Linked DNA regions of Arabidopsis thaliana. The protein of the gene in region 2 purifies or fractionates together with the protein of the main gene of each other region. This does not show direct contact. Each region holds a gene or a part of one and is shown on either strand. Other genes may lie near its edges.

Evidence for each region. The genes of interacting proteins can lie anywhere in the genome.
Region 1: the proteins of AT3G60770 (region 2) and AT5G15520 fractionate together in Arabidopsis thaliana (co-fractionation; one large-scale study listed by BioGRID). This does not show direct contact.

The regions. Positions count from the first base shown.
Region 1 is NC_003076.8:5,035,774-5,041,211, forward strand, and holds AT5G15520 (Ribosomal protein S19e family protein), read right to left. Parts: upstream 2,982-5,438; 5' UTR 2,364-2,981; coding exon 2,280-2,363; intron 1,995-2,279; coding exon 1,904-1,994; intron 1,820-1,903; coding exon 1,636-1,819; intron 1,542-1,635; coding exon 1,469-1,541; 3' UTR 1,248-1,468; downstream 1-1,247. Other genes in the region: AT5G15510 (TPX2 (targeting protein for Xklp2) protein family), read left to right, coding at 257-316, 403-497, 614-815; BCCP2 (biotin carboxyl carrier protein 2), read left to right, coding at 3,182-3,313, 3,507-3,548, 3,646-3,764, 3,857-4,169, 4,315-4,386, 4,489-4,554, 4,641-4,664; AT5G15533 (uncharacterized protein), read right to left, coding at 4,884-4,982, 5,046-5,063.
Region 2 is NC_003074.8:22,458,823-22,463,989, forward strand, and holds AT3G60770 (Ribosomal protein S13/S15), read right to left. Parts: upstream 2,958-5,167; 5' UTR 2,835-2,957; coding exon 2,812-2,834; intron 2,736-2,811; coding exon 2,663-2,735; intron 2,246-2,662; coding exon 2,107-2,245; intron 2,008-2,106; coding exon 1,821-2,007; intron 1,737-1,820; coding exon 1,703-1,736; 3' UTR 1,367-1,702; downstream 1-1,366. Other genes in the region: AT3G60760 (uncharacterized protein), read right to left, coding at 1-108, 327-380; AT3G60780 (hypothetical protein (DUF1442)), read left to right, coding at 3,873-3,932, 4,212-4,808.

The DNA.
Region 1 (5,438 bases), on a different chromosome or scaffold from region 2:
CTTGAAGTTCAAGATACCTTAAAACATAGCCGCTGACATGATTTGGCTTCAGTAACCATTTCATTCTGTCAAATCATTTAGAGTATACTTGTTTTCTTATCAGCTGGTTGTGTTAAGACTTGAGACGGAAAGGAAAATAGCTGATAGTGTCAAATAGTGTGTATTGTAGTCTGTAGCCAAGGTTGACTTGTCTATAGTAACTTTGCATTGTTCCATAAATTTCTTCATGTTAAAGTCTGAATTTTTGTTGTTCTAGGTTGCCGAGAAGATGAGCTTCATTGAGCAATACAAAATGGAAAGAGAAAGACAACAGAAGGTAAACTTTAATATGAGATGTTGTGGCCATATCCGATAATAGAGTTTTGCTTTAACTGATTTTGATAAATCCAATATTGTTTTTAGTTGGCAGAGGAAGAAGAGATAAGAAGGCTGAGGAAAGAATTGGTCCCAAAAGCACAACCAATGCCATACTTTGATCGACCATTCATTCCAAGAAGGTAAAAGACTGGTACATAAATACTATCCTCTTGAATCTTTCTTATTATGAGAGCATGATAGGTAATATAGATATTGTTTTCAAGTGAGAAATATGTTTTCAATATAGTTTTCACAGACCAACTAATAGAGTAAACTTTCTTATAACAATGAACGTCATTGCAAAAGCTGACACAGTTGCTTCTTGTTGTTTTCTTTTACCATTAAAAGGTCGAGCAAACATCCAACTGCACCACGAGATCCCAAGTTTCACATACCGCAACACAAGAAGATCAGATGCTGCAGTTCATCTTCTTGGAGTGAAACTGGCTCCTGCATGAGCGATTTCCAATATCAGTTTCTCTAGAAAGCTTCTTTTGGATTTACTACTATATCATCCTTGTTCATATTCTCATTTTCAAAACTACATTACCTTTCTGTAACCAATTAGTTGCAGTTTCATAGATTTGACAATCATTCTTGTTTCACCTTTGTAATAATAATCTGGTCTTCACCCAAGAAAATGAGAAAGATTCCATATTGTTTGCAAAATCTGGTTTGATCTGGTTCAGAAAGATATAATACTTATCCTCCAGTTTGAATTTGGATTTAACTGACTTATCTTATGATTCAATCCGTGTTCCACCTCTCATACATTTGTTTGCAGAATCCGGTGTACATTGGTTTAGTTCTGGTCAAGAAACATATGTGAGTTTTAAATCATCTTCCAATTTAAATTTGTATATGACTGACATACCAGAAGAGTTTTCATAGAGAAGAGTAAATTGTTTCTTGAGATTTCTATGAAGAAGAGTAAACTTGGGATACAAAATCACTGTAAAGAACAAAACTTTAATAGCTTCATCAAATATCAAATTAGTTCGTCAAAATGAACAGAGCAGAAGAGAGTAGAGATCTAAAATCACAAAAGCTAAAAAGATCTATAACATTCTTGAGGCTCCTCCAAAGCAAGCATAAGGAGAACAACAGCTCTTCATGATTCAGCTGCAATACGCCCAGCAACCTGATCCAAATCCCGTTGACCGCTCGAAGTGATTCTTCTCCCTCTGAGACAAAGAATGAACAAAGGAGGAGAGATGAAAGTAAGTCACTAACAAGGTCTTCCTACGAAAAGTGCCTTTAGAAAGAAATAAGAATTACCCTTTAGTGTCAAGCTCGACAATGCTCATTGTCTCCAACTGTTGGAGAATATGGCGAGCAATACCACCACTGCTCTTACAGAAATGTGGTGGTCGACTTCCATTTCTTTTGCTACCTCCATAAATTCTTCTGAAAGCACCAACACCAAGACCTCCTCTCAAGTAAATCTTTCTGGCCATAGAAGCTGCACCATACAAGATATCAACAACGTTCATAACGACTCTATAAAAACAAAAACAAGCGAAGAGAAAGCTAAGCTTTTTTTTACCAGCTCTAATGTAGTACCAATCAGGGTCATATGGAGCAAGCTCCTTCAAACGACCAGTCTTCACAATGTCTGTCCATAGAGGAAGCTCAATCTAAATCAGACAAAAGAGACAACTATTATTACAGTGAATTTCCAATTAGCTGCCTATGATCACTAACATCAAGAATCTATCATTTCTATCTCTATTTCTCTCTTCCTCAGTCGTTTTATAGTATTCAATGCCTCAAAATCACACCAACACATTGAACTACAATATCAGAAGCTCCCTCAAACTCTCAATTGTTTCCTCTAAAACTCATTATCAGATCCTTTTGTGACGTCTTTCGATTCTCAGCTGAATCAATCAAACTTGAGAGAGAAGCATCAAAACACTAACCTTTCCAGATCGCTTGAGGTGAGAAGCGTAAGCCTTCACGAAATCGTGAGGAGAAACATCTTTCACGGTTTTACCAGTCGCCATTTCACGAATCACTCCGTTAAGTTAAGCCAAGAGCTTTCAATTTTCAGTCACAAAGTCTATATATATCTGAGCAATCAATTTTCAATTAGGGTTTTTTTCGGACACACTGAACCCGAATCGACCCGCCTAACCCATTATGGGCCATTAAATCTATTTAAGCGGCTTATACGCTCCGTTTCAGTTAAAAGTGTAGTTCAGTCTTAATTATTATTTTAGCTACTGAAAGTTATAAAGATAAGATATGTTTTTGACCAGAAGCCACAGACAAGTTTAGCTGAGTAAAAAACGCATGGTCTTGTCTTCAATAAAACCCCACCTATCTGCATTTACTGAAGTGACCAACTATAAAATATGTTAAGTGTCACTGGATATTGTTGAGTTTTAAATCTTGCAGACATTATGACCAAAGATTGGATCAAAAAGACTGTTGGATTTGTGAAACAAATGCAGATTACATGGAGGCAATCTCTGAAAGACTGTTCCGGTGATTAGACCAGTAACACATGTATAGCTGAACACACATATCTATACATATCTATATCTATCTATATTGGTGTATTTTGTGTATATACTAAAAAATAAGACAGAGAAACACCGAGGCACTATGTTATGACATGGCACGATTGAACTGATAGAAGACAAAAGGAGCGGTTTGGTGAAGTTAGTTAAAAGAGTTGGGTTTCTTCGTAAGCATCGAAATCAGATTTCTTTACCAAAGAAAAAATAAAGAAAAGAAAAATATAGCAAGTACACTGCATTTCAACACTCTCATATCTCTCCTTCCTACTTCCTCGGTTTCATCGTCCACTGTCTCAACAATGGCGTCATTGTCGGTACCTTGCGTCAAGATCTGTGCTCTGAACAGGCGGGTCGGATCTCTCCCTGGAATCTCTACTCAAAGATGGCAGCCGCAACCCAATGGGATCTCCTTTCCCTCCGATGTTTCTCAGGTTTCTTCTGCTCCTCTTCTTTCTCTCTCTGCCTCTCTTGCATATGATGATTCTATAAAAAAGGTGTGAGCCTTTACGAAAAGATTTGCCTTTTTTCTGTGTGTGTTTTCCACTGCAATGGTGCTCGAGTTGGTGACTGTTTAAAGTTAGTATGCATTGATTCATAATTCTCTGTTCTGTTCTTCTCCTGCAGAATCATTCTGCATTCTGGAGGTTGCGTGCAACAACTAATGAGGTAGAGATTGCATGTTTTTTTTACCAACAATGGTCCATTCAATTAAACGTTAATTGTACGACTGTGTAACCTTCTTAATCATTTCGACTTTACCAAGGTTGTTTCTAACTCCACTCCAATGACTAATGGTGGGTATATGAACGGAAAAGCGAAAACCAATGTTCCTGAACCCGCCGAGCTCTCTGAATTTATGGCTAAAGTCTCTGGTCTTCTTAAGTAAGTCCACAATCCAATGAATCCCTTACTATCCTTTAGTTTGCTTTCTTTCGATGAACTAGTCAAGCACTAAACATTTTGATCTTATTAAGGCTTGTGGATTCAAAAGACATAGTGGAACTTGAACTAAAGCAGCTCGACTGTGAGATCGTTATTCGAAAGAAGGAAGCTTTACAGCAAGCTGTACCACCAGCTCCAGTTTATCACTCAATGCCTCCTGTAATGGCAGACTTTTCAATGCCTCCAGCTCAACCAGTGGCTCTTCCTCCTTCTCCTACTCCTACCTCAACGCCTGCAACAGCAAAACCAACATCCGCCCCATCCTCGTCTCATCCTCCACTCAAGAGTCCCATGGCTGGTACTTTCTATAGATCTCCTGGACCCGGTGAACCCCCTTTTGTAAAGGTACGAAAGAAAGGAAACAAAAACCTGCAAAATATTTGTTATTGGTTGAAGTTGAATCAAAGTCTTGAAAATTCTCTCTATCGAGATATGAACAGTTATTACATTTGAAATGGATGTGGGTTTGTTTTCTGTTTGCAATTTGCAGGTTGGAGATAAGGTACAGAAGGGTCAAATTGTTTGTATTATCGAAGCTATGAAACTGATGAACGAGATTGAGGTCTGATATTCTTCTTTATAACATTGTGATAACTTACACTTGGAAATTTGCGAATTTGAGGTTTCAGAGTCTTTAACTTGTGAAATCGTGTCTTGAAAACAGGCTGAGAAGTCAGGAACCATCATGGAACTACTGGCTGAAGATGGAAAACCAGTCAGCGTTGACACGGTACCGATCTCTCTCTTCGTTTTTTATTTTTTTCACAGTTCTTTCAGATCTTTGACTTATGGTTACTTATACAACAAATTATGCAGCCTCTTTTTGTCATCGCACCTTGAAACGAAGAAGGATCCTTTTAGCTGCTTCAAAACATCTTCAAAGTCTCGGTTAAGCTATAGCAACGTGCTAAAACTCATCAAGTAATTATTTCAGCTTAAGTTGGTTGGTTTCGGATTTCTGCTTGTCGCTTCAATAATTGACCCATCTTTTGGGATTTCACGTAACGTACTACACTTTGCTTTTTAGTTTTCTGCGAAACTAATGTATTTTGTAGCCTCTCAATCCTGGCTCTCTGTCCCATACTTCAGTTTTTTACACAACGCACTGCTTATAAAAGCACAGTTAAAGGTGTCTAAAGGAGAATGGTGTGTCTTTGACTGAGGCAACAAATAAAACAGTGAAAAGTTAAGGTTTTACATGATGCATTACCTTAATAAAACATGTTTCCATGTTTTCATCTATAAAAAAAGAAGGGAAAAACAGTAGCATAAAAGCTTCACTTATCATGCTATCGATGGTCAAACGAACCCACTGCAAGCAATCCTCTTTTCTAGCGTTTATGCATTTGTATTATAACCAGAAGTAGTTGAGGCCTACAGAAGTATTTGAGCAGTTGGTGGCTGCTGATAACTTCCTCCGGTTACACTTTGGGACCTGAGACCTTGCAGTAGTTTGAGAAACTCAGAGGGTTCGGGTGGATAGGGTCGTAAAACTCTAAACGCCCTCTTGATCTTGAGGTTCGCAAAGTCCCTGGAGTAGAGTGTCAACTCGGTCGGCATAAGTATTATGAGTTGACGTGATTTTGGAGCAACTTGCGGTAAGGGCTGCAAGCT
Region 2 (5,167 bases):
GAAACTGTTTTCGAACATCAACTGAAATGACAATAGTCCAAGTGCTGCAGTTCCTTGTTTCTCCAAAGAAGCCAAACTTAGAATCTTGCAGTCCCAAGGTGGTGCTTCCTATTCCAATATTCTGCAGTAACAACATGAATACTTGATACTTTCGTTCCATGAATATATGAAGACCACATTACATATTTGTCCTTCCACTATGCTTATGCTTCTCATCTTTCTCTGTTTCGTTTTCCTGCCATAACTCTCTCATTCCATCAAGTTGCAATTTCAACACTTTTAACTATAAGCCATGTCTACTCATAAGTTCTTAGGCCTGGACCTACAACTAGATCTGAGTATGCAAAAGCCACAGTGAAAAACTCTCTCATCAAAGCCATCCCAAAAACATGTCTACTTGCTGATTGTTTTTCCAAGAAGTTGATTATGTTGCACGTACTTGTGATTCCTCCAAGTAACCAATGGCTACACTGAACCAAACCAATCCACCAATAGTGACACGTATCTGTACTTACCTGCCTAGATTTTATGGTCGTTCTCTTCATTGTCTAAATTCACCAAAAGTTGTTGACACTTGGGACTGAGACATGTGATCTTGTATCATAAACTGCAGACTTTGAAATGGTTTGGCCTCTGTGAGAAACTTCACATGATAAGAAGGAACTCTCTGCAACAACTTATAAGTCATGTTAAAAAACTCCTATTGATTGAGCATCTTTCTATTTCATCATCCATTGATTTCGACTCAAGTCACCTTCCTTCACTAAAGTCTATTGACAATCCATATGACCATATTCTTTGCATGACCAGAGCAACCTCCAAATTATATCTTTCTCCTGTTTGTATTTGAACTTACTGTTGAACTTTGCTTCTTTCGTTACTTAAGAGCAAAAGAAAAGAGAACATATTTAGGTTTATGATGTAACCAGAACTGCTCTGTTTTATCTGTCGAGAGAAGGAGAACAAAGTAAGTGGGAACTTGTTTTTATTTCACTGAGACACGAAAGCAACGACTTGTAACTTCTCGGACACTGATACCCATTCACAACCGACACGATTGTGTTATGACACCGTTAGACTTTTACATACACACTTAATTATAGGAGTATAACATAAAACGGAAATTCTATTACAAACTAACACTTACAAGCTTACAAATTTTTTTATGTCTTCCATTAACATGTCCATCCCATCTAGGTGAAGGATCATCAAGAACTATACTTCTATAGGATTCCTTCATTTCCAAGGTATTAGCCAATCTGATGATTACAAAAACCACAAGAATGCCTGCGCTTGTAGACTCGGAAATTTGTTTTATCATCGTCGGAGTTTTAGAGTCTTTGTCTAATTTGCTAAACAATAAGTTAAAAGGAACAGACATTAAAAACATGCAACTGAAAGAAGTATTAAGACAATATCTAAGCCCAACACTAAATTATCTTCAACTTGGACGCTACTAGCGGAGATAATCTGTAAAAATTCTCTGAGAACGATAATTAACGTTAATTGAAAGATAAGCTGTAACGATAATGGAAAGATTCGCATAAACAAATTCGTTCCCTAAAATCAAAATCTCATAGCAAGTTGTAACCCATCAAAACTAGCGAAAACAGATACATAGGTTCAAAAGAAGAAGAGCTTTGAGTTGCAATGCAGACAATGAAATGGTCCTTCTTGAAGGACATGATCAACTCTATTCTTCTCAAGCCACAAGAGTGCTTGCAGTTGTAGACTCGCTGCAAAAGCAAGAACAAGAGTTGGCATCAAAATTCAAAGTCAAGAGATGATAATCAAGAACTCTTAGATGTTCAAGTACTTACTACTTCCAGACGGGTGGGAGCTTCTTGGTCTTCTTGTAGTAACGAGCAAGACGATGGATTCTGCTCTCTACAAGAATCAGCCTGAATTTGGAATCCTTATCTTTCCTGTTCCTCTCAAGATGCTTGCGGATAGCAACAGCTTTCTTGATCAAGTGATACAGATCCTCAGGGATCTCAGGTGCAAGACCTAGAGAGAATTACAAAAGATCTCTTAGTTTCAGTGATTATTCAATAAGCAAAAAAAAAACAAACACTTACAAAAGAATCAAGAGAGATTGAATAGTACCATGAGCTTTCAAAATTCTGAGAATCTTGCTTCCAGTAACACTTTTCACCTGTGGAATTCCGTGAGAGTCACGAAGAATGACACCAATCTGCGATGGGGTCAAACCCTTCTTCGCAAATTTGCAGATGGACTCATCAACCTAATTCAATTATCAAAACAAACATCAGGACCAATCAAAGTAAACACTTTATTCTCAAAGAAGTATCAAGTAAGCTAACTTGGAGAGTGCAAGCAAACACATCAATATTGATTGCATCACAGATAGTACTCATCAACAGATTAAATCACTAAAACGAACTATCACATCAAGATCATAACTCTATTTCTTAATATGTCACAAAAGGATTGAAACTAACAAACAACAAATCACATCAATAAAATCAAATTCAATGACAAACCAAAACTAAAATGCAGAAGATTCTCATATTCCAAATTTCCTAACCAAAATTAGAATCAAATCCTATGTTCAGCCATGCGAGAGGTAGCGATAACATTTTCGAAACACAAATTGAAAATGAAATCAAACAGAAATCTAGATTAAGTCTACGAATCTTACATCTTGAGGGGTTGTCTTGAGCCAGCTCGGAGATGAACGCTTGTACGGCAAAGCAGATGCCGAGATACCCTTACTACAGAACACACAACAAAATGTAAGAGAACAAGTTTTCAAATCAAGACTCAATCAGATACGAGAAGGAAACGAACCCTCTACTATGCATTCGACCCATGACTGCGACGGCGAAGTGATCGTCCTCTCACTGAGATCGTTCTTCCTCGGTTTCTTTCTTACGGCTGCTGCTGCGCTTCAGAGAATCCACAAACCCTAAATTGCTTCTTTATATATACCTCGTATCTTATGGTCGTGCCACAGGTCTTTTTGTTCCCTAATCTATATGGGCTTTAGTTTTCATACATAGGCCCAATTAAAATTAAAAGTCTACAAAAGGAGGCCTTGAAACTCATGTATAAAACAACACATATGTAAACGTTACCGTTTCGAAAATAGATAAAAACTTTCGTTAGTTTTAAATTAGTTAGCATTTAGTTCTTTTTCATAATCAGTATTAGCAGGTTTAAGTATACAATTTTGTTAGTTGTTTATTGTGTAATGAACTTTTAAATTGAAACTATATTATTACAATAGGATGCATAAGAAAGTATCCAATCGTTCTGATTAGAAGTCTAATCAAGTAGTCATCAACCTAAGGATAAGTGAACAACAAAGACGCATTAATAGCAAAACTCATTTTAAACAAAAACGGAACCTAGCTAAATTGGTTTATGCAATACCGATCTATTCACAATGTATGTAGACACAAAATAGGGATAAACGTCATTGTATACACATTAACCTAACAAGCACGTTACACTACATATATATCACAGTCCCAAACGAATACTTAACACATTACACATGATCATAATCAAAAGTCATTTAATATGTTGCACAGGGTGTAGAATTTAAACCCTAGACCTAAAGAAATAAATTCGCTATCGACATTAAATGTTATTCAAAACAAAATCTAAGAATCGAAGTGAGTAAATAAATGGGAAGATAGAAGGGAATGAAGGACACGTAAATGATTGGGTTAAACAAATGTCAACGCTAAGTCCATTCCTTAAAGCCAAACCACACCCATTTATTAACCTAACTGCCTAACCGTCTTGTCATCACCTTCCTTTCCTCAACTTCTCTTTATATAGAAACCCTTTCTTCTCTCGAAAGCCAAACATTTTTATCAAGATATTAACACAAGAATACGATCATGAGGCTCGTCTGGTCGCCGGAAACTGCCTCTAACGCTTACATCCACACCGTTAGATCAGTAAGAATCCTCCTCTAATTCAGATGGCGCATTTTGTACATCATCTTTTGTTTTCTTGTTCATGTTTGTTCACCGTCAATTCAACTTGTTGACCTAAATTGTATTTTGATCAAGGAAATCTTCAATATGTATATGAATTACAATTTTTATAGTTCTTATAATTAATATTTTCTTCGCTGTGAAGTATATGTGGTTTTTATTTAGTCGATCTTGATGTATCATGTACATATATGAATTTAGAATCTTGATGTAATTATTTCTATATGTGTGTCTTTGAAGTGTAAAAGCTACAGAGACTCGAGCGTGGCGGAGTTTTTATCGGCTACGGCGGCGGGATGGAACACGAGGCTGATCGTTGAGACTTGGTCACGTGGAGATCCGATCGCAACTAGCGTCGGACTCGCCGTGGCAGCGATACACACATGTGGAAGACACGTGTGCATAGTTCCTGACGAAGAGTCGAGGTCGGAGTACGAGGCGGTGATGAGAGGAGCCGTTACGAGTGACTCAACGGAGGTTATGGTCTTAGACTCGGCGGAGGACGTGGTGGAGAGAATCTCCGGCGTGGATTTCATGGTGGTTGATTCGAAACGCCACGAGTTCGTAAACGCGTTGGGATTAGCGAAAACGAGCAAAATGGGCGCCGTTTTGGTGTGTAAAAACGCCACGCTGAAATCTATCCCTGGGTTTAAATGGCAAGGTCTTTTGAGACGAGGTACACGTGTCGTGAGATCGGTGTTCTTACCCGTCGGGAGAGGATTAGAGATCGTACACGTGGGAGCCAGTGGTGGTGGTAATGGTTTGAGGAAGATTCCTAGCCGTTGGATTAAACACATAGATCCTCGATCTGGAGAGGAACACTTGTTTAAGCGTTAGTCAACGTTTTTGTTTTCCCTTTTAATCAAAAACAATGTCATGTATTTTTTCCATAACAATTACCATTTCTAATCATGTAATAGATAGAAAAGAATATCACCACATCAAGAAGTAATTGGTGATTTGTTTCCAAATGTATAGCTTCCTTTTGCTTCTAGATTTGTTTCCCAAAAATGTTATTTTTGAATTAGATGAGAACAAACCCATGATACCTTTAATATTCCTCCTGATTTGGCCAACCAAAGAAGTCTAATTTTCACTCAGTTGCTAATGAAACATAAATAATTACTTGGGACTTGATTTTACACTCCTAAAAGAAGTGATAGACTTGGTCTTGGACTTTATGATGTAATGGGATT